5 linked regions of the Callithrix jacchus genome follow. The protein of the gene in region 5 purifies or fractionates together with the protein of the main gene of each other region. This does not show direct contact. Links are inferred from orthologs where the notes say so. Each region holds a gene or a part of one and is shown on either strand. Other genes may lie near its edges. The genes, in order: RPS8, RRP12, LTV1, RIOK2 and TSR1.

Region 1 (3,969 bases), on a different chromosome or scaffold from region 5:
AAATTTGGAATCAAGTAAACTGGAGGACCAAATTGCCCGGGTGCCCTCCTCCAGGTTCTTCAGCTCTGTGAGGCCTTAAGGAGAAACAAGGGAACTCTCAGTCTTTAGGAGCCACAGGGCATCAGTCTTCCACAACTCCCTAACCCACATTTCTAGTGATGTTTGGAAACCACAGTCTTTATCAGACTGCGGAGTTAAGAAATCAGAGCAGGTGGGGTGTGGTGTCTCATGCCTGTAATCCCAGCACTCTGGTAGGTCGAGGTGGGTGGATCACTTGAAGCCAGAAGTTTTGAGACCAGTCTGGCCAACATGGTAAAACCCAGTTTCTACTAAAAATATTAAAAATAAGGCCGGGTGCGGTGGCTCAAGCCTGTAATCCCAGCACTTTGGGAGGGCAAGGCGGGTGGATCACGAGGTCAAGAGATCGAGACCATCCTGATCAACATGGTGAAACCCCGTCTCTACTAAAAATACGAAAAAAAAAAAAATTAGTCGGGCATGGTGGCACGTGCCTGTCTCATGCCTGTAATCCCAGCTACTCAGGAGGCTGAGGCAGGAGAATTGCCTGAACCCAGGAGGCGGAGGTTGCGGTGAGCCGAGATCGTGCCATTGCACTCCAGCTTGGGTAACGAGAGCGAAACTCCGTCTCAAAAAAATTAAAAATAAGCCAGGCGTGATGTTACACGCCTGTAATCCCAGCTACTTGGGAGGTTGAAGGAGGATCACTTGAACCCAGAGGCAGAGTTTGTAGTGAGCCAAGATCGTGCCACTGGCACTTCGGCCTGAGTAAGAGACCCTGTCTCAAAAAAGAAAAGAGATCAAAACAGGACAGTCTGGGTGGAGAGAACTCTCCAGCTACCTCAAGATCTTTCAGCAATGAGAAACTTCAAATGCTTTGGTCTAGGCCACAGACCTCCTGCCAAAAGTACTACCAGAGTCTTGCTCTGTTGCCCAGTCTGGAGTGCTGCAGTGGGCAATTTCAGCTCAATGCAACCTCCAACTCCTGGGTTCAAGCAATTCTTGTGCCTCAGCCTCCCAAGTAGCTGGAACTACAGGTGCACGCTACCACGCCCGAATAACTTTTTAAATATTTTTAGTATAGATGGGGTTTTGCCATGTTGGCCAGGCTGGTCTCCAACTCCTAACCTCAGGTGATCTACCCGTCTTGGCCTCCCAAAGTTGTAGGATTACAAGCATGAGCCACCACTGCTGAATCTTAAGAAGGGTTAGGTGGCTGGGTGAGGTGGCGCATGCCTGTAGTCCCAGCTACTCGAGAGGCTGAGGCTGGAGAGGAGTTCTGGGCTGTAGCGCGCTCTGCTGATCTGGTGTCCGCACTTAGTTTGGCATCAATATGGTGACTCCCGAGAACGGGGTATCACCAGGTTGCCTAAGGAGGGGTGAACCCGTCCAGGTCGGAAGTGGAGCAGGTCAAAACTCCTGTGCTGATCAGTAGTGGGATCGAGCCTGTGCATAGCTACTGCACTCCAGCCTGGGCAACATAGGGAGACTCTGTCTCTTAAAAAAAAAAAAGAGAGAAAAAAAAGCTGAGTTTTCCCACCCACTCCCAAAGGGCTTCACTCACACTCTGAGCCCCAGGAGAAATTTCCCACGTCTAGCCTCAGGGCACGGTATTTCTTGTTACCGCCCCGCACACGGACTGTGTGGATGCGGCGGGGGCCAATCTGGAAAACAGAAGGTGACAGGAACTAGGGTTACCAGGGAAAGCAAGGCAAGAGAGGGAGAGGAACCTGGGCCGTGAGGAGGCAACAGTCAGTGTAACTATGACATGTCCTAGCATTGGCAAGTGGCACGAAAGCGACCAAGACGGCCACAACCACGCCTAAGGATTCTTTTTCATCACCCTACTTGCCTCCAAGAGGAAAGCCTGACCCCAAACTCTTAAAATTAAACCTCTGTAAAAAAAAAAACAAAAGACCAGTCTTCCGACTATTACGCGAGGCACCGCCCTCCAGAAGCTTAAGTCCCCACACAGTAGCCGTCTGAGACCCTAAGCTCCGGGGACGGGAGCCTGAGGGAGCATTCCTCTTTGGTACCTATCTAACAAGCAAATGCGGGGAGGACACCCAGGCCTTACTACAGAAAGAACGCACAACCGTCACACGGAGAGACCTGAGAACGCTGGAGAGCAGGGGAAGGTGACCTCCCGGGCGGCCAGGCACACGCTCGCACCCACCTTGGTGTTGGCAGCCGGGCGCCCCAACTCATACTTCCGCTTCTTGTGGTAGGGCTTTCTCTTGCCCCCGGTCTTGCGGCGCTTGTGCCAGTTGTCCCGAGAGATGCCTGCATGTGGAAGCGGGGACAGAAGCTTGAGTCACTGGGACTCGGTGCTGGCGACTCGCCAGCTCCGGACCCCCGCGCCTGGCCGGCCGCACGCTCAGCTCTCCAAGGTTGGCTTCCCCACCGCGCACTCGGGAGTCTGCAGCATCTCGTAACTGTCATCATACACGTGCGGCCCGACCGGGGCCTACTTCTCGCGGCAGCCATGTTGGCGCCGCTAGGAGCCCGCAGCCCAGAGCCCAGAGCCCCCGCCCTTCGCAGCCCCAGAGAGAGGCTCGGCGGCCGAAACCCGAGGGCTGCTCCTCTTAGTGGCTTTTCCTGGCTGGGGGTCGGGGCGCCTGGACTCCTCAGTAAGCTGTGAAGCAAGATGGGGTCGGATTGAACTCGCCACCCCCAATCAGCCGCCTCTAAGCAGAGCGACACTCACCCATCGCTCGGCGCTGGCTGGAAAGAGAAACCGCGCAGATTCACGGTCCGGTTTGTAAAACGCTGCCCCGCCCCCACCTTTACGTTGTTTCTGAGCGCCGAAACAACGTCGGGCGACGAGACTTACGTGTCTACTGCCGCGCCTCGGGCGGGGGAAGGGCCCTTGGGCTGTCGACCCTCTGTTGACCCCCGTCAGACCTTGGGCTGGAGGAGGGGAGTCTGCGGCATCTGCAGATGCGTGCTTGTTGACTCCTTTCTGAGGCTGCCGCAGTCGTTTAGGATGAGATGTGGATGCGGCTGCGTTGGAAAAGGCTGGAAGGCAGTGGAGCTGGAAACGAGTGTGGACTTGGTTTTGTTTTGAAGGGTTTGGTGGTAGATTGGCTATGGGGATTGAGGGAGAGGGCAGTGTCAAGGATTTTTTTTTTTTTTTTTTTTTTTTTTTTGAGTTTCGCGTTTGTTGCCCAGTCTGGAGTGCAGTGGCGTGATCTCGGTTTACCGCAACCTCCCCCTCCCGGGTTCAAGCGATTCTCCTGCCTCAGCCTCCCGAGTAGCTGGGATTACAGGCATGCGCCACCACGCCTAGCTAATTTTGTATTTTTAGTAGAGACGGAGTTTCTCCATGTTGGTCAGGCTGGTCTCGAACTCCTGACCTCCCAGAGTACTGGGATTACAGGCGTGAGCCACCGCGCCCGGCCAGTAAGGATTCTTAAAATTCTCATTTGATCCGTTGGATAAATATTGGGACCATTTACTGAGATGGGTTAGGCCTAGGTAGGAGCTGTTCTGGACACGTTCATTTTGATGTTTTGCTAAATCTTATAACTGGGAAAGACAGGTAGGAAGCTGAATATTCATGACTGGTCATCCTTATAAGGGATCTGCACTGAAGATGTTATTTTGGAAATCTTTGGTTTATAAATGGCAATTAATTAAAGCCACCAAAATGAACGGAACTTAGGAAGAGTATAAAAGAGGGGTCAGCTAACTTTTTTTTTTTTTTTTCTGAGCTAGAAGGATATATATTTTTTAATTAAAAATATTTTTTAGGGCCGGGCGCGGTGGCTCACGCCTGTAATCCCAGCACTTTGGGAGGCCGAGGCGGGTGGATCACGAGGTCAAGAAATCGAGACCATCCTGGCCAACACCGTGAAACCCCTTCTCTACTAAAAATACAAAAAATTAGCCGGGCACGGTGGTACATGCCTGTAATCCCAGCTACTTGGGTGGCTGAGTCAGGAGAATCGC
Region 2 (4,002 bases), on a different chromosome or scaffold from region 5:
TAACATCTAGGCCGGGAGCGATGGCTCATGCCTATAATCCCAGCACTCTGGGAGGCTGAGGTGGGTGGATCACGAGACAGCAAGTTCAAGACCAGCCTGGCCAAGACAGTGAAACCCTGTCTCTACTAAAAATACAAAAAACTAAATCAGGCGTGGTGGCAAGCGCCTGTAATCCCAGCTACTCAAGAGGCTGAGGCAGAGAACTGCTTGAACCTGGAAGGCAAAGGTTGCAGTGAGCTGAGATCACACCACTGCACTCCAGTCTGGGCAACAGAGCGAGACTCTGTCTCAAAAAAAAAAAAAATTTAGCATCTAAGTAGAGGTATATGGGTAAATTATACACTAGATTTTGAAGACTTCCTATCATAAAAATAATGCTGTAGTGAAATATATTGATTATACATTGAAACGGTAATATTTTAAAGATACTGAGTTAAGGCCAGGCGTGGTGGCTCACACCTGTAATCCCAGCACTTTGGGAGTCCAAGGCAGGTGGATCATGAGGTCAAGAGATCAAGACTGTCCTAGCCAACATGGTGAAACTTCATTTCTACTAAAAATACAAAAAATTAGCTGGGTGCTTGTAGTCCCAGCTACTCAGAAGGCTGAGGCAAGAGAACCGCTTGAACCCAGGAGGCAGAGCCGAGATTGCGCACTCCAGCCTTGGTGACAGAGTGAGACTCCGTCTCCAAAACACACACACAAAACAAGAAAAAAAGATACTGAGGTAAATAAAGTATACTGTTAAGATTAATTTTACCTGTTTAAGTTTTTAATATGGCTACTAAAAATTTTTAAATTAGGCCAGTAGCAGTGGCTCACGCCTTTGGGGGTCACCTGAGGTCAGGATTTTGAGACCAGCCTGGCCAACATGGAGAAACCCCATCTCTACTAAAAATACAAAAAAAACTAGCCAAGCATGGTGGTGCATGCCTATAATCCCAGCTACTTGGGAGGCTGAGACAGGAGAATCTTGAACCCAGGAGGTGGAGGTTGCAGTGAGCCGAGATCACGCCATTGTACTCCAGCCTGGGTAACAAGAGCGAAACTCTGTCTCAAAAAAAAAAACCACAATTTTTAATTACATATGTGGCTTGAATTAAGATTACTATTGGACAGAGCTGGTCCAGGAAGACAGACCATGACACATTAACAGTAGCTACTGTGAAAGACTCAAGTTGGGGGAACAACCATCACATTTTATTCTTCTTCTATCATTTTAGTATTTAGAATTTTTACTTTTTTATTTCAATAACAAAAAATATACATAACTTTAAAGTATAGATAACATAATAAAAGTAAATAAAATTTAGTTCTTGCTAGATAAAACGTTTCCTAATCACTGTTACTGGGCATTTATTAACTCAACATATGCTTATTGAAAAAACTCTCTGTACAAAGTACTGTGTTAGGTAAAGCTGAGGAGAGAAATTTTTGGAAAATATTTCTACCCTCAAGTACTTTACACTTCAGCAGGGGAGATGTTCTTATAAAAAGCATCAAGTGGGCTGGGCACGGTGGCTCATGCCTGTAATCCAAACACTTTGGAGGCTGAGGTCGGGAGTTCAAGACCAGCCTGACCAACATGGTGAAACCCCATCTTAAAAAAAAGCATCACGTGGAACCCGCCCTAGGAGGGAACATAAAGAGAAGAGAAATGACACATCATCCAGAAATACCAGCTGTTGTCACGGGAGACCAGTCAGCCAGAGCTGAAGAAAAGGCATGAGTTGGCCCCTCCTCACCGTTCCATGGTCCTCCTGACCCTCGCCCCTACCTCCTTGTGGGCAGCCGAGTTGGACTCCCAGAAGCGCTGCACTTTGCTGAAGGTGACGTTTGTGCAGTCGGAAAGGCCACTCAGGAAGGTACCTGAGGACTTCTCGGTGACAGCCAGCTCCGCCTCTTCTTCCATGGGCGTCTCAGGGGCTTCCCTTTTGCCCAGGCGCAAGGACCCTGACTGCAGCTCATTATGTAACTTCACAGCATCGACTGTCAGGTCACTCCTTCCTGAGAGCCAGAGGCACAAGATAAGGCCCAAGCCTCCTTTTGGTCAAGAGAACAGAACAACCCCAGGGAAACAAACGATCCCAGCCCAAGACTCCAACCCGAGAGGCTGAATTCTGCCTCATAAACCCATTGCATGCCTAAAACTTGAAAACCCAAGGAGAAAGGGAATCCTCCGTGTAAAAGTTTCCGCTTCCCTGTAGCAATGGCATAAACGCCAGTGGGAATCAGCTGGAACTACATTCAGAGAACCTAGAAAATAAATGAAGGTGAATGCGGTCTATAAAGAGCCATCCAAGGTTCATTACAGCCATGAGTCCCAACTCTGACACCTGCAGTACCTTACACAAGACATTTCCCTACTGCGGACCTCAGTTTCCATATATCTGCTAAATTGGTACGGTTGCCCTTCAGAGCGAGCTCCAGATCCGACATCCTAAGAAATGGAAGTTCCAGTGCCTGGCCCCGGACTCTCCCAGAGGCCCCAGACTCATCTGGACCCAGGTGTGCCCGGAACCCCACCGACGGCTGCGCTCGGGTCCCAATCCAGCTACCTGACGGCCGGCTGAAGAAGCGGCTGCGGGCGGCCTGGCGGTGGCGGCAGATGACGGGGTTGCTGTCGCTGCTGTGGCCTTTCTTCCAGCGCTTCAATTTAGCTGAGACACCAGAGGGCAACTTCCCCGAGCGACCCATATTGACTAAGCCGTGGCTGGGAGTGAACCTAAAGGACCAGTTCCCAGGTACTTAGAAACACGCTCAGAACCCACGTGGATACCCTGTACCCTTCACTTCCTCTTCTTCTGGCGTCACTTCCGGATTCGTGCCTATTACTATGGTAAAGCAATCAACATCCGGTTTTACGCCTCCTCCTCCTCCTCCTCCTCCTCCTGGTTTTGGATTTGGGGGAGCTCCAAGGAGATCCGTTGCTACGGAGGACGTTAGGTTGTTACGGGTTCTCTGGGCTTCTTACTCCAGCCTGGACCAGGTTTCAGGACCACAGGAGTGAGTGAGCCTTAAAAAACTGGAGTTAATGGCCGGGCGCGGTGGCCCAAGCCTGTAATCCCAGCACTTTCGGAGGCCGAGGCGGGTGGATCACGAGGTCAAGAGATCGAGACCATCCTGGTCAATATGTTGAAACCCCGTCTCTACTCAAAAATACAAAAAATTAGCTGGACATGGTGGCGCGTGCCTGTAATCCCAGCTACTCAGGAGGCTGAGGCAGGAGAACTGCCTGAACCCAGGGGGCCGAGGTTGCGGTGAGCCGAGATCGCGCCATTGCACTCCAGCCTGGGTAACAAGAGCGAAACTCCGTCTAAAAAAAAAAAAAGAAAAAGAAAAGGAAAAAACTGGAGTTCAGGCCGGGCGCGGTGGCTCACGCTTATAATCCCAACACTTTGGGAGGCCGAGGCGGGTGGATCACGAGGTCAAGAGATCGAGACCATCCTGGTCAACAAGGTGAAACCCTGTCTCTACTAAAAATACAAAAATTAGCTGGGCATGGTGGTGCGCGCCTGTAGTCCCAGCTACTCGGGAGGCTGAGGCAGGAGAATTGCTTGAACCCAGAAGGCAGAGGTTGCGGTGAGCCGAGATTGTGCCATTGCACTCCAGTCTGGGTAACAACAGCGAAACTCCCTCTCAAAAAAAACAAAAAAACAAACAAACAAAAAAATGAGTTCAGCTGGTCGCGGTAACTCATGCCTGTAATCACAGCACTTTTGGAGGCTGAGGTGGGTGAATCATTTGAGGTCAGGGTTGGAAACCAGCCTGACCACCATAGTGAAACCCGGTATCTACTAAATTACAAAAATTAGCTGGGCGTGGTGGCGCGCGCCTGTAATCCCAGCTCCTTGGGAGGGTGAGGCACAAGAATCACTTGAACCCAGGAGGCAGAGGTTGCAGTGAGCCGAGATCTCACCTCTGCACTTCAGCCTGGGCAACAGAATGAGACTGTCTCAAAAAAAAACAAACAAAAAACTGGAGTTCTTTTTCAGTTAACAA
Region 3 (4,022 bases), on a different chromosome or scaffold from region 5:
ATTTCAAGTCAAGATATAGACATATACACACAATTTATTTTATCAACTATTTGGAGGGTTATAAGAAAAGACTTGGGGAGGCCAGGCACAGTGGCTCATGCCTATAATCCCAGCACTTTGGGAGGCTGAGGCAGGAGTATCACTTGAGCCCAGAATTCAAGACCAGCCCAGCCTAAATAGTGAGACCTCGTTTCTACAAAACAATTTTAAAAATTAGCCAGGCCTGGTGGCGTGTGCTTGTAGTACAAACCTGGAGGATAAAGTGGGAGGATCACTTAAGCCCAAGAAGTATAAGTTGCAGTGAGCTGAGATGGAGCCACTCTGCATGCCACCATGGGCAACAGAATGAGACCCTGTCTCATAAAAAAAAAAAAAAAGAAGAAAGAAAGAAAAAAAGATTTGGGCTGGGCGCGGTGGCTCAAGCCTGTAATCCTAGCACTTTGGGAGGCTGAGGTGGGTGGATCACGAGGTCAAGAGATCGAGACCATCCAGGTCAACATCATGAAACCCCGTCTCTACTAAAAATACAAAAAATTAGCTGGGCGTAGTGGCACACGCTTGTAATCCCAGCTACTCGGGAGGCTGAGGCAGGAGAATTGCCTGAACCCAGGAGGTGGAGGTTGCGGTGAGCCGAGATCGTGCCATTGCACTCCAGCCTGGGTAACAAGAGCGAAAACTCCGTCTCAAAAAAAAAAAAAGGAAAAAAGAAAAAAAAGATTTGGGTGCCTTGAAAGGTTAAGTACAATTTATTGTATTTATATGTTAAACCCTCTCAACATACAACAAAACTGACTTTACTGAAAGCTAAACATGGCCCATGTCCCCAACACTGTTTCATAATACGTACACTTAGTAAGTACTGTCCAACATTAAGTCAATCTTTTCGAGGCTTCCTTGCAAAGTTCCCTGAGCTAACCCAAGAGCTCAGATATTTTACATTTCCTAAGATGAGCAACCAGGAGGCAAAATGCAATTTGTGGTTATGAAATGGCAGGATCTTAGAGAAAGCACAGTTTGAGCATTCACTGGTGCCCTAGATAACATGAGGCTACATTGTAGCTGGTGTTTTGGTAAATATTAACCATTATTTTACAAAATTTGTTCCTTTAAAATCTCAAAGATCTTTGTCTTCCCAATCAAAAAAACATGAATGTCATTTATGTTATTTATAATGTTATGTTCCCAATCAAAACATGAAAAATCAGCAAATGTACTGAAAATTAACTTATAGATTCTTTCCCAGAATATCTGTTATCTGAAAATAACAGCTGGCTAACAATTTATTAAAAACTATTAACATAGCTGGGCGTGGTGACTTATGCCTGTAATCACAGCATTTTTGGAAGTCAAGCTGGGAGGACTGCTCAGGAGTTTGAGACCAGGCTGGGCAACATGGCAAGACTCTTTCTCTATTAATTTAAAAAAAAAAGAAAGAAAGAAAAAAGAAACTATTAATAGTCTACCTATAAACTGACTGGGTAAAGAACAGGACCTACTTTTCGTGTGGGCAACAGAACCCTCTGGGGTGCAGTCTCATCTGCTGCTAAAGGATCTCGTTGGCTCCGGTGGACCAAGTGAAAAGACACAGCTTTCTTCTTCTCTATAAAGGGCTTTTTCTTCCTGTGAGGCTTCAAAGGAACAAAATCACAACAATTAATTAAAACAGAACAAAACGATGGAGAATAACTCCACAGTCCACAAACGCATCTTTAGTACTCATGTTAAAGATAAATACTTTTTAAAAATCTACACTTCCAGGGAAGGTAACATCAGCTGTGTTCTGTAGAATCCATACTTAGCCTTCATTCAACAAATATTCCTTGAGCACCTACTCTGTGTCAGACCTTGTTATGGAAACTGGGAATACAGAATTGGGAACGTCGGATAAAGTCCCTGTTCTTAGCAAGAAAATCAAGATAATTTCAGGTGGAGAAAATATAAGACAGTGATGTGAAAATGACTTAAGAGCTACTTTAGACTGGCTGCTCAGGGAAGGCCCCCGGCAGACTGAACCAGAATGAGAGGAAGCCCGCCACAACATGATTTGGAGTAGACAGCTCCACGTAGGGTATCTACCAACCAGTAAATAAAATCAGGACACAAACAGCTAAATTTAATAAGATCCATCATCTCTTTCTACATTCTTGTTTCGCTATTCAATTTTGATTCTCCAAACTGTGAAACCAATTAAATGGCTTTACTTTGGGCGCAACCTTATACTCTCCCACAAGTTTCCTTTCTCAGAGCAAACAGACAGGCAGACACCTGCCACTCCAACGCCACTGAGGGAGACCAGCAGCTCCCTCTGCTCGACCCCAAGAAGCAGAGGGTGGCTCGTCTGTGTGTGCAGTCGCCAGCTTTTAGTTAACCGAAAGCGCGCAGGGCTGCAAGATCCCAGGGGCCATTCTCCTCTCCGGGTCACATCCCTGGGAGGCTCGGCGGTAGCAGAATATAACTAGCAAAGAATACCCGGGGTGGTGAGCATGGCCCATTCCGGGGTACTGTGCTGCAAGCAACCTCTGGCATGATCCAGACCCAGGCCGCAGTAGTCAAGGCATTACCGGAACCAGCCCTGCCTCTGCAAAACCACAGCGCCCGGCCGCCGAGGCAAACTAGGTTTGCTCACCATGCTGCAGCCGCGCGACGCTCACCCTCAACAGGGGCGGCGATGATACCCTCGCAGTCCGGCGGGGATACCAAGGCCCAGCTTCTAGAGGGCCGGGTCTCTAGGTCTCACCACACGTGCGACTCCAGGACCCGGCGAAAACTTCACGCAGCCCCGGCAGTGGAAATGGACCAATCCGAGGAGCTGATGGGTCGCAATCGGAAGTTACGTACTAGCTGCATCTCCACTATCGCGAGAAGCTACTGGGAGGTGGGGCTACTTCGGCTTCCACCCACTGGCGGGCTGTACTCTTCCAGCCTTTAGTCTCCCTCTCGGGAAAGAGAGTCGCGCGGTTTCCTAGCGTTGAAGTGCAGAAGGGGGTTTCTGCTTGTGGAGGAACCCCCTCTTATAGCTCCCTCTACGGAGACTAGAGGGGACTAATCTAGCATCTCCGTTGACCTGTGTCCCTTACCTATTCCCAACCATAACAGAAAGCCGGGGACACGGAAGGGAGGCGGGCACCCGGCTGGGGTCGCCAGGTTTCAGGTTTCCCCTCCTGGCTGGGGCGGGGTCGGTTGCCGTGACAACGGAGGCCGAGGCCTTTATAGACTGCACCAGACTTGATCCATTTTTATTTCCCACCGTTTCAGGAAGTGCTTTCATCTGCCCTGTTAACCAAACCCTCGAGACTCTGTTGACTGTAGAGGCATTTGAGCTAATAAATTATATTCAGGAATCTCTGGTGTTTGAGGCCGGGCGCGGTGGCTCACACCTGTGATCCCAGCACTTCGGCAATCACCTGAGGTTGGGAGAGACCGGCCTAACCAATATGGAGAAACCCCGCCTCTACTAAAAATACCAAATTAGCCCGGCGTGGTGGCGTATGCCTGTAATCCCAGCTACTCGGGAGGCTGAGGCAGGAGAATCGCTGGAACCCAGGAGGCGGAGGTTGCGGTGAGCCGAGATCGCGTCATTTCACTGCAGCCTGGGCAACAAGAGCGAAACTCAGTCTTAAAAAAAAAAAAAAATAGCATCTCTGGTGTTTGAATGTCAACTCTCTCCCACTGTTTAAATGAATAGGCTATAAGCATGCATTCTTAGGGAGATTTCAGGTTGGTGCTGGCACACTCACATAGCTTTTCTTGGACAAAAGTGTGTGGTAAATGCACTCACTTTCATCAGCAGATTTTTTTTTCAAATTTGTTTCCCCGCTACCCCATTCCCAGTTTCTGGTGTCCTCTCAATGAATGAGTTAACTTGGATTGTATCTTTATGTCCTAGTCATTGCCACTGTATTTGTGGAGTATTATTCTTTTATTACAGTAAAAATTATAGAAATAGGTTAGGACCATAAAGCTTGTCTTGGGGATATTGCTTTGAAACAGAGATAATACATAGCACTCTTATGTGCCAGAGG
Region 4 (3,512 bases), on a different chromosome or scaffold from region 5:
TTTAAGTAATTTTTTTCAACATAGACCATTTTGAACATAACTTGGCAGATCAATAGCAAGTGATAACCTTAAACATTGTGAACATTTGTCTATAATTTGTGCTATAGCCTAGACGTCATGCTATAGCCTAATCTTTATCTTATTTTTTCTCTGTTATAAAAAATCAATATATTTAAGGAATGCATTTATGTGCAATGAGATTCCATTCCTATACCTTCCATATAAATATCCTGAAAAACACCTACTACAGTTTTGGGAAAATGTGTAATGATCCCTACCAAGCTGCTAATTTACTGACTATTATAAGACATAAACTATTAGTATAAGACAATAAATACACAACATGTATGGTATCAGTAGTACTAGTTTATACTGCCTTAAGAAATCTTCCATGATTAGTAAACATTTAAGCATAGAATATAACGTACTCAAAGAACAACAAATTGAATCCTCAAGAAACAGGTGTTTACACACTGTGCCAATCCTCCATTTAAATTTTTTTTAAAAAAATGAAGATAAATTATGACAAATCCTATTGGCAGAATAACAAAAACACAGTATTATCTTTCGTTTAACCTAGTTATTATTGAATATATTTTATTTGGCTATTATATTTAACAAATTTATGCTGAACTTAATTTTGAAGGCAAAAAGTTAAAAATTTTCTTCAATGTAAGAATAGAGTACAATTGTAATTCATCACTACCATAACATATGTAGTCAAGTTCCAATACTTGGGGAAACTGCAGAGGTAAGAAGCACACCTGAAGTAAAATGAAAAGGCCTAACCCTGAGAAAACCATCTTTGCAATTATGGCATTTCATCTGCAAGGTTAAGTATTTTTTTTCTATTTGTACAAATGTATGAGGTACATGTAACATTCTGTTAAGTATATATGAGTAGTGATCAAGTCAGGGTATTTAGTGTGTTCATCTCCTGAGTAAAATACATTTCATTTACTATAGTCACCCTACACTGCTGTCAAACATTGAATGTGTTCCTTCTAACTATATGTTTGTACCCTTTAACCCACTTCTCTTCATCTTTTCCTCTTACAAACTAAAGATTTTTACCTTTTTTTTTTTTTTGAGACAGAATTTTGCTCTGTCGCCCAGGCTCAAGTGCAGTGGCATAATCTTTACTCACTATAACCTCTGTCTCCTGGGTTAAAGTGATTTTCCTGCCTCAGTCTTCCAAGTAGCTGGGATTACAGGTGCCCACCCCCAAGCCTGGATAATTTTTGTATTTTTATTAGAGATGGAGTTTCACCTTGTTGGCCAGGCTGGTCTCCATTACATCAAGAAATCTGCCTGCCTTGCCCTCCCAAAGTGCTGGTATTACAGGCATGAGTCACTGCGCCCAGCCAATTTTTACCATTTTTAATATTCAGATAAGTCTATAAATGACGTTTGTTCCACTATGTGAAACAAAAAACTAGCCAACTTATCTGAGACATTAAGGTTTCCACAGATGGTAATTACTTGGTATTTTCAATTAGAAACAGACAAATATATAGTTGTATGTATTGAATAGATATATATACACCCAAACATAAAATATTTGTGAGGTAACAGCATATTAACTGTTTTTGGTTCTTCCATCTTGTCAATATTATAGAATGTGTTGCCCTTATGAATTAATAACAATTTAAAATACCTTAACATAGAAGGGAATCACTTAAAAGAGCCCAAATAATCAACAGAATTATTTAGGGATTGAGTCTGTCTGTAGGCATTGAGTCTGAGGTTAGAGAGATGTGGGAGCAACAGAATCAAACTTGACATTAAGGCCTTTGAGACACATGTATTATTTGGCTAAAACATTCATGACTATAAAATAAATACCTTCATATAGGCAAATTCCTTCATGGCAGAGAGACGAGATAAATAAAGCCAAGAAACATTATGCCTATGTTTATGATAATCACGTTTGTTTTTCAGATTTCGAAACGAGGTTCTTCCTAGTCTGTAAAGCTTTAATGCAAATTGCTGTCCTTCTTCATTTGCAACAATGTAAATATCTAGAGACAAGATTTCAAAAAAATCATTATTACAGGTTTATTCCAATCATGTAAAACAATTCTAACTTTGTCTAATTTTATTTGTATCAAAAATGTCATTTTTCTTAATAAAGGCTGAATATCCCTTATCTAAAACTTTCGGACCAGTAGTCATCTGAATTTGGGAATATTGGGACACAAATAGTGAGATATCTTGGAAGTTATTAGAAGAAAATTCCTAGTATAAATAAATTTTCAGTGACAGACTTTCAGATAAAATAATAACCTACTAATTAAGGGTACCTTCTGATTTATATTGATTCCAACCAACTTTCCAATTTACTGTTTAGTTGGAAAAAAAGGAAAATTAAAATATGCTTTCTGAAGGGAAAACATAAATTAAATCAAAGCAAATACTTTCCACAGTACTATCAGCACTTACCTGATTCTTTGCCAACACCCAGCTGGTTTCCAACAGACTCAACGACTTGCCTAGAAGAAAGTGTTTTCAAAGCTAGGTAATCATATCCTGCATTTGTCAACCGGTAGCCCTGGACAGCTACACAAAATCAAAGGAGAAAAACCACATTTTAGTTACACTATATAACCAAGTCACTTAAGTTCAACTCAAAAGAAAGATTTAACAGTGGAAAATCTTTATTGGAAGCTCAGGCTCACAAACTTCCAATTTCTTCCTATAATTTGCATTTCTTCTCCAGTGTGCTGTTAAAGTGTGACCTACAAACTGAGGTCTATATGTGTTTGTGATGAGATAAAAAAAGGCATTTAGGTTCAATTTTATATTAATTTGACCTAGAATTTATGTCTGATTTTGTATCTATCTGTTATCCATTTCATTTTTCTAGTATTTTTTTTTTTATTTTATAAAAGTAAGGATCTGTGATAGGTTTGAAAAAACGAATCCCTCACCACAGATGGTTTAAGTAATTCTCTAGAGTATGACTGCTGATTGTATTTTCCAAAGATGGTAGCCACAGTATCTCTATCCTACATGCTCTTCTGCAGTTCTGCAGTACCCTACACGTTCTTCTGCGGTACCCTACATGTTCTTGAGCTGGGAGTGTCCTGTGACTGTTTTGATTAATAGGATATGGCAGAAGTATGTTTTGTCAATTCTTCGTCGAATGCTTTACTAGTCTGGCAACTTCTACTTCTTGCCTTTTGGAACACTTGCTCTGGAGGAAACCAATTACCTGAAAACTCACAAATGGTGCCTCAAAATACTTACTTTTGGTACGCTCCCAAGCTATGAGTTTATGTTTCACTAATTCTCTTAAAACTTTATTACAGCCACCATGTTTAAGGCTGGCTATAGAAGCAATCAAACTGCCAGGAACAATTTCATGGTTCTTCATGCCCATTTCAACCTGAAATTAAGGGAATCATTATGTAATCATAATCAACACAAAACTTTATCTATCAAAACCCTGCTAAGAAATGAACTTCTCCTTGAAACTTTCCTTACTATGCTGTTCTCTAACTAATTCTGAG
Region 5 (4,049 bases):
CTTTGATCTACCACTGTGCCTAGGTTCATATTGTTTTTATCTTCTAGGATATTCTTTTATCCCTCTTCAACTCATAAATCACATTCATCCTTCTCAACACCTAGCTCAAGTCTGATCTCTCCTGTAAAGCTTGCTAGTCTACTTTCTAAACTTCCATAGTAGATCCGTACCTCAACCACATGCTATCTCTATCTTTATTTTACAGATGCCGTTTTGTTCCAGCCCAATTAAGCCCCTTAAGGAAAGCAACCGCGTCTTGAGTGTCTTCTATAAACTCAGAGCCAACTGCAGTGCAGAGTATATAAAGTGCTAGATAAATATGTAATTTATCAACATATTTATAACTATTGCCTTACTTCAGACTGGCAGTCTCCTCAATCACCTAAATGTACAGACTGTCTTCTCTGAATTTAAGTTTCCTTCCTGTGCCAACTTTCTTTTTTTTTTCTTTTTAACTCTGGACGTGACATTTTTCAGTACACTGTGCCAACTTTCATATGATTATGAATTAAGAATATGTCTTTCCCCTCACAAAACAGAAACAAAAAAAAGTCAGTCTTACCTCCATTGCCATGTCTGGGTCCTTCTGGGATTTAATTACTCTAGGATTTAAAGGGAAAGGGTCCACAGGGGCATCTATCTGTTTCATCTGGAAATCGCCATGTCCAACGATATGTAGCAAACTGTTTACATTCAGAGTCTGCCCTCGAACATAGCCTGAAATTTTCAAGTTGCCCACCAAGTTATTCTCTTCACTAGGAACAAAATCAACAGCATGGGCAAACAGGTAGGCTCGCCGGTCCCGAAAAGCAAGATGCTGTTGCTTCTGGTTAGCCAACTGCCTAAGCAGCATCCCTGCCTCCTGCTGAGTGTCTAACAAGAGGAGTTTGTTATCTGGAAAGCGCTTCTCCACTGCTTTACTTAGCTTCTTCCTGGCATCTATTTGGTTCTTCAGTGGGAGGCCAGAAATCCCCTGGACAGCTAGCGCTGTAAGCAAAAGAGAAAATGCTTTGTGACCTATTGCTTCATTACATAAAAATCTCCCTGAAGGTCAGGCACCGTGGTTCACACCTGTAATCCCAGCACTTTGGGAGACTGAGGCGGATGGATCACCTGAGGTCAGGAGTTCGAGACCAGCGTGACCAACATGGAGAAACTCTGTCTCTACTCAAAATATAAAATTAGCCGGGCACAGTGGCACATGCTTGTAACCCAGCTTCTCGGGAGGCTGAGGCAGAATTGCTTGAACCCAGGAGGCGGAGACTGTGGTGACCCAACACCACTGCATTCCAGCCTGGGCAACAAGAGCAAAACGCTGTCTCAGGAAAAAAAAAAAAACAAAAAACACCCCAAACCCTGCAGTTCACAACCTAACAGCTCAGTTGCAAGCCCAGAGATCACTGGGAAACCCAACACTTAAGTACCCTAAAGGAATTTCACAGTGAAATCACACTTCATATGCTTCTTTCTCTAGGCAAAGGACAGCCAAAAACAAAAAGGCACCCTGAGTGAGAATCTGTAAATAATGGACCAACTTTAATCCATATGTGTAACCCCCACCACCAGCTGAATATGACCCATCAGTTGTATTCCTGTATCAAACACAAGTGCACAATAAATGCTAACTCACTTACTATAGGTGGGAAGCCCCTGGGCAAAGAGGCAGGAAAGACAGTAATCGCCGGTGCTGTCCCAGCCTTCAAGTGGATCAAGTAAGAACAGGACGGTATCAGCTACTTTAGCCATGTCTAACACAGTGTGTAGATCTCCTGGAGACAGAAGTTAAGAAGAGGAGGTTGGCACCAGCACATTATGCTAAAAAAATATTACCACTATTCAAACATAATAGAAAACATTGTTTGTATACTCTAACCTGGCCTTGCTGATGTGAAAAACCACCGATGTTTCAGGTGGGGGCATAGCAGCATAAAGCTGTGGGTGTTTCCCAATTCATTCAAGTGTACTCTTCCAGTGTCCATATCCTGAAGCAGCTGAATGGCCTCTGGCAGGGAAATTCTGTTGTGCAGGGGCACCACCAGTACCTGATGAGGAGGGCCATTCTTGCTACCCAACTGTCTCTTCTCTGCCAGAACCTGAAAACAGATATCCAAGAACATCTCAATGTCTCAGTACTTCACTCCAGCATTGCATTTCCCACCCACCCACAACCGGCGTCTCTCTGGTAAAAGGCCCCCTGTATGCCGGCAGGGTGGCAGGAATTCTGACCAAAGAAAGGAATGCCAGAACTGTACGCTCGACATGTGCTCTAGGGCTATTCTCTGTCCCTGGACCCTCCACCCGGTCTCATTTTCCAGTTCGAGGCATTAGCCACTTAGAAAAGCAGAGGAGCCACAGTCTCCCAAACCCCGCTCCTCTCACCGCCTCCTTCTTCTGCTTTCGGAGCTGGCTGGCGCGATGCCTCTGGTCGACTCTGCTGAGTTCTTTTCTCACTTTCTTGCTTAGGGTTTTCAGTGCTAGACGGCCTGGAGGGCAGATTAGAAGGGTCTGGTGTGATCGGTCCCACAATAACGTCAGGAAAAGGGACCCCTCTCCGCCCACCTTACAAAGGGCCTTTCGCGTGGGGCCCAGACGAGGGGAGACAGCAGCTCAGTCTGGGCATGGGGAAAAAGACTTAATAACAGCCAAGTAGCCCTTCTTCCTTCTACGCTACCTTCTTACCCTTGCCGTCCCGCTGTGCAGATCCCCGACCCCGATGCCGCCCGCCTTTGTGAGCCTTATTCTGCTGCTTGAGCGGGCCGGGCCGGTGGGCAGCCATACCGCAGCGCGCGCGTTCGGAGTCTACACCGCTTCCGGGCCAGGCCGAGCGCTTCCGGTCCCGTCCACCGGGGCGGGCCCTCCGGGGAGCGGGGCTCCCTGCGCCCCGTGCGCCCCCTGGCGACGGTCTTTTCCAGCCGCTCCAGAGCGCCGCGTTCGCCACTTTGCCCAACCGCCGTGGGAACTTTTCCCACGCCGCAGTGTGCGGTTGGGGGCTGGAAGACGCCGGATGTGGACTCTCGAGGCTCGGGCTGTTGGCCCAGCAGGGCTGTTTGTGCCCCTTGCATTTTCACTTTTCGCTATAAAGCTGCATCACATAGAAACATGCTGACTGGAAGGCTCCGTTCGTGCAGAAGAGGCCCAGGCCGCTCCTGTCACCTGGGTGCGGGCGCGTTGCTCTTCCGTTTGCAACAGCATGTGTTCTTCATCACTTTGAGCAGCCTTTCCTGTCCCTCGATTCCCCAGCGAGGCTTGGGAATCGCGTGGAAGACACTTCTCTCACCTTGTCCGCCCGTCCCTGTAACTGCAACCCGCGCCCCGCCTCCCACGGAGCGGCCGGAAGGGCCCTGTGGGACGTGGCGACCCGACGAGGCGGGCTGGCCGCGACCCTCCGGCCCTCTGGCTCGGGCGGCTGCGTTCCACTCATCTTCCCACAAACTTGACGACGGCTTGGCGACGGCCGCCCGGGATTCCGAGGGGTCACGGGGCCAGGCTGCACTGCCTTCGCCGTGGGCAGGCTCGGACCGCAGGGAACCCCGTGCCCGGGCCCCGGCGCTTTCCGTCCCGTCGGGAGAGTGAGCAGGGAGGAGTCAGGGGACCTTTGGCGGGACCCAGGCACGCTCTCAGCCGCGGGCTCCAGGGCCTGCGTTCACAATGTGGCTTCGCTCCCTCGCAGCGGGAGCGGGCACGTTGCCATGACAGCGACCCCCGCGGCGCACGCCCTGGTCTGCCGCCCTCAAGCGCCAGCGGCCTCTCCCCGCCCCGATCCCCCGTCGCTGTGCGCAACCCCCCTCCGTCTGTGGGAAGGGGCCGGGCCTGCCGCCTGACGTCTGCGGGGCTCGGAAGATGGCTGCGGAGCCAAGCACCGGGCAGTGGCTGCGGCGGCGGCTGCGGGCCGGGAGCGCGACGGGCGGAGTCTCCGCCTTGCGCGTGGGGCGCTGAGCCGAGAGGCGCGGAGGCGGCGAGGGCGCGGGGGCTTGGAGGGCCGCTCGGCGCCGCCTCCTGCCACACCATGGGCAGCGCGGAGGACGCTGTCAAAGAGAAACTGCTGTGGA

The links.
Region 1: the proteins of TSR1 (region 5) and RPS8 purify together in Homo sapiens (co-immunoprecipitation; 4 studies listed by BioGRID and IntAct, with this or other methods). This does not show direct contact. The link is inferred for Callithrix jacchus from reciprocal best matches to the Homo sapiens genes TSR1 and RPS8.
Region 2: the proteins of TSR1 (region 5) and RRP12 purify together in Homo sapiens (affinity purification with mass spectrometry; 3 studies listed by BioGRID and IntAct, counting the BioPlex papers as one, with this or other methods). This does not show direct contact. The link is inferred for Callithrix jacchus from reciprocal best matches to the Homo sapiens genes TSR1 and RRP12.
Region 3: the proteins of TSR1 (region 5) and LTV1 purify together in Homo sapiens (co-immunoprecipitation; 4 studies listed by BioGRID and IntAct, counting the BioPlex papers as one, with this or other methods). This does not show direct contact. The link is inferred for Callithrix jacchus from reciprocal best matches to the Homo sapiens genes TSR1 and LTV1.
Region 4: the proteins of TSR1 (region 5) and RIOK2 fractionate together in Homo sapiens (co-fractionation; 3 studies listed by BioGRID and IntAct, with this or other methods). This does not show direct contact. The link is inferred for Callithrix jacchus from reciprocal best matches to the Homo sapiens genes TSR1 and RIOK2.

Annotation. Positions count from the first base shown.
Region 1 is NC_133508.1:81,490,665-81,494,633, reverse strand, and holds the start of RPS8 (small ribosomal subunit protein eS8), read right to left. Parts: upstream 2,801-3,969; 5' UTR 2,730-2,800; coding exon 2,726-2,729; intron 2,469-2,725; exon of another isoform or gene 2,389-2,468; intron 2,302-2,388; coding exon 2,195-2,301; intron 1,869-2,194; exon of another isoform or gene 1,765-1,868; intron 1,683-1,764; coding exon 1,583-1,682; intron 1-1,582. UniProt on the Homo sapiens protein: Component of the small ribosomal subunit. The ribosome is a large ribonucleoprotein complex responsible for the synthesis of proteins in the cell. Part of the small subunit (SSU) processome, first precursor of the small eukaryotic ribosomal subunit.
Region 2 is NC_133513.1:90,222,266-90,226,267, forward strand, and holds the start of RRP12 (RRP12-like protein), read right to left. Parts: upstream 2,807-4,002; 5' UTR 2,698-2,806; coding exon 2,559-2,697; intron 2,008-2,558; coding exon 1,778-2,007; intron 1-1,777.
Region 3 is NC_133505.1:150,614,091-150,618,112, reverse strand, and holds the start of LTV1 (protein LTV1 homolog), read right to left. Parts: upstream 2,804-4,022; 5' UTR 2,630-2,803; coding exon of another isoform or gene 2,627-2,629; 5' UTR 2,527-2,626; coding exon 2,470-2,526; intron 1,629-2,469; coding exon 1,497-1,628; intron 1-1,496. UniProt on the Homo sapiens protein: Essential for ribosome biogenesis.
Region 4 is NC_133503.1:113,412,114-113,415,625, reverse strand, and holds part of RIOK2 (serine/threonine-protein kinase RIO2), read right to left. Parts: intron 3,389-3,512; coding exon 3,250-3,388; intron 2,560-3,249; coding exon 2,443-2,559; intron 2,022-2,442; coding exon 1,846-2,021; intron 1-1,845. UniProt on the Homo sapiens protein: Serine/threonine-protein kinase involved in the final steps of cytoplasmic maturation of the 40S ribosomal subunit. Involved in export of the 40S pre-ribosome particles (pre-40S) from the nucleus to the cytoplasm.
Region 5 is NC_133506.1:65,916,850-65,920,898, reverse strand, and holds the start of TSR1 (pre-rRNA-processing protein TSR1 homolog), read right to left. Parts: upstream 2,804-4,049; 5' UTR 2,777-2,803; coding exon 2,680-2,776; exon of another isoform or gene 2,672-2,679; intron 2,484-2,671; coding exon 2,380-2,483; intron 2,094-2,379; coding exon 1,874-2,093; intron 1,770-1,873; coding exon 1,635-1,769; intron 988-1,634; coding exon 563-987; intron 410-562; exon of another isoform or gene 314-409; coding exon of another isoform or gene 206-313; intron 1-205. Other genes in the region: SGSM2 (small G protein signaling modulator 2), read left to right, coding at 4,007-4,049. UniProt on the Homo sapiens protein: Required during maturation of the 40S ribosomal subunit in the nucleolus.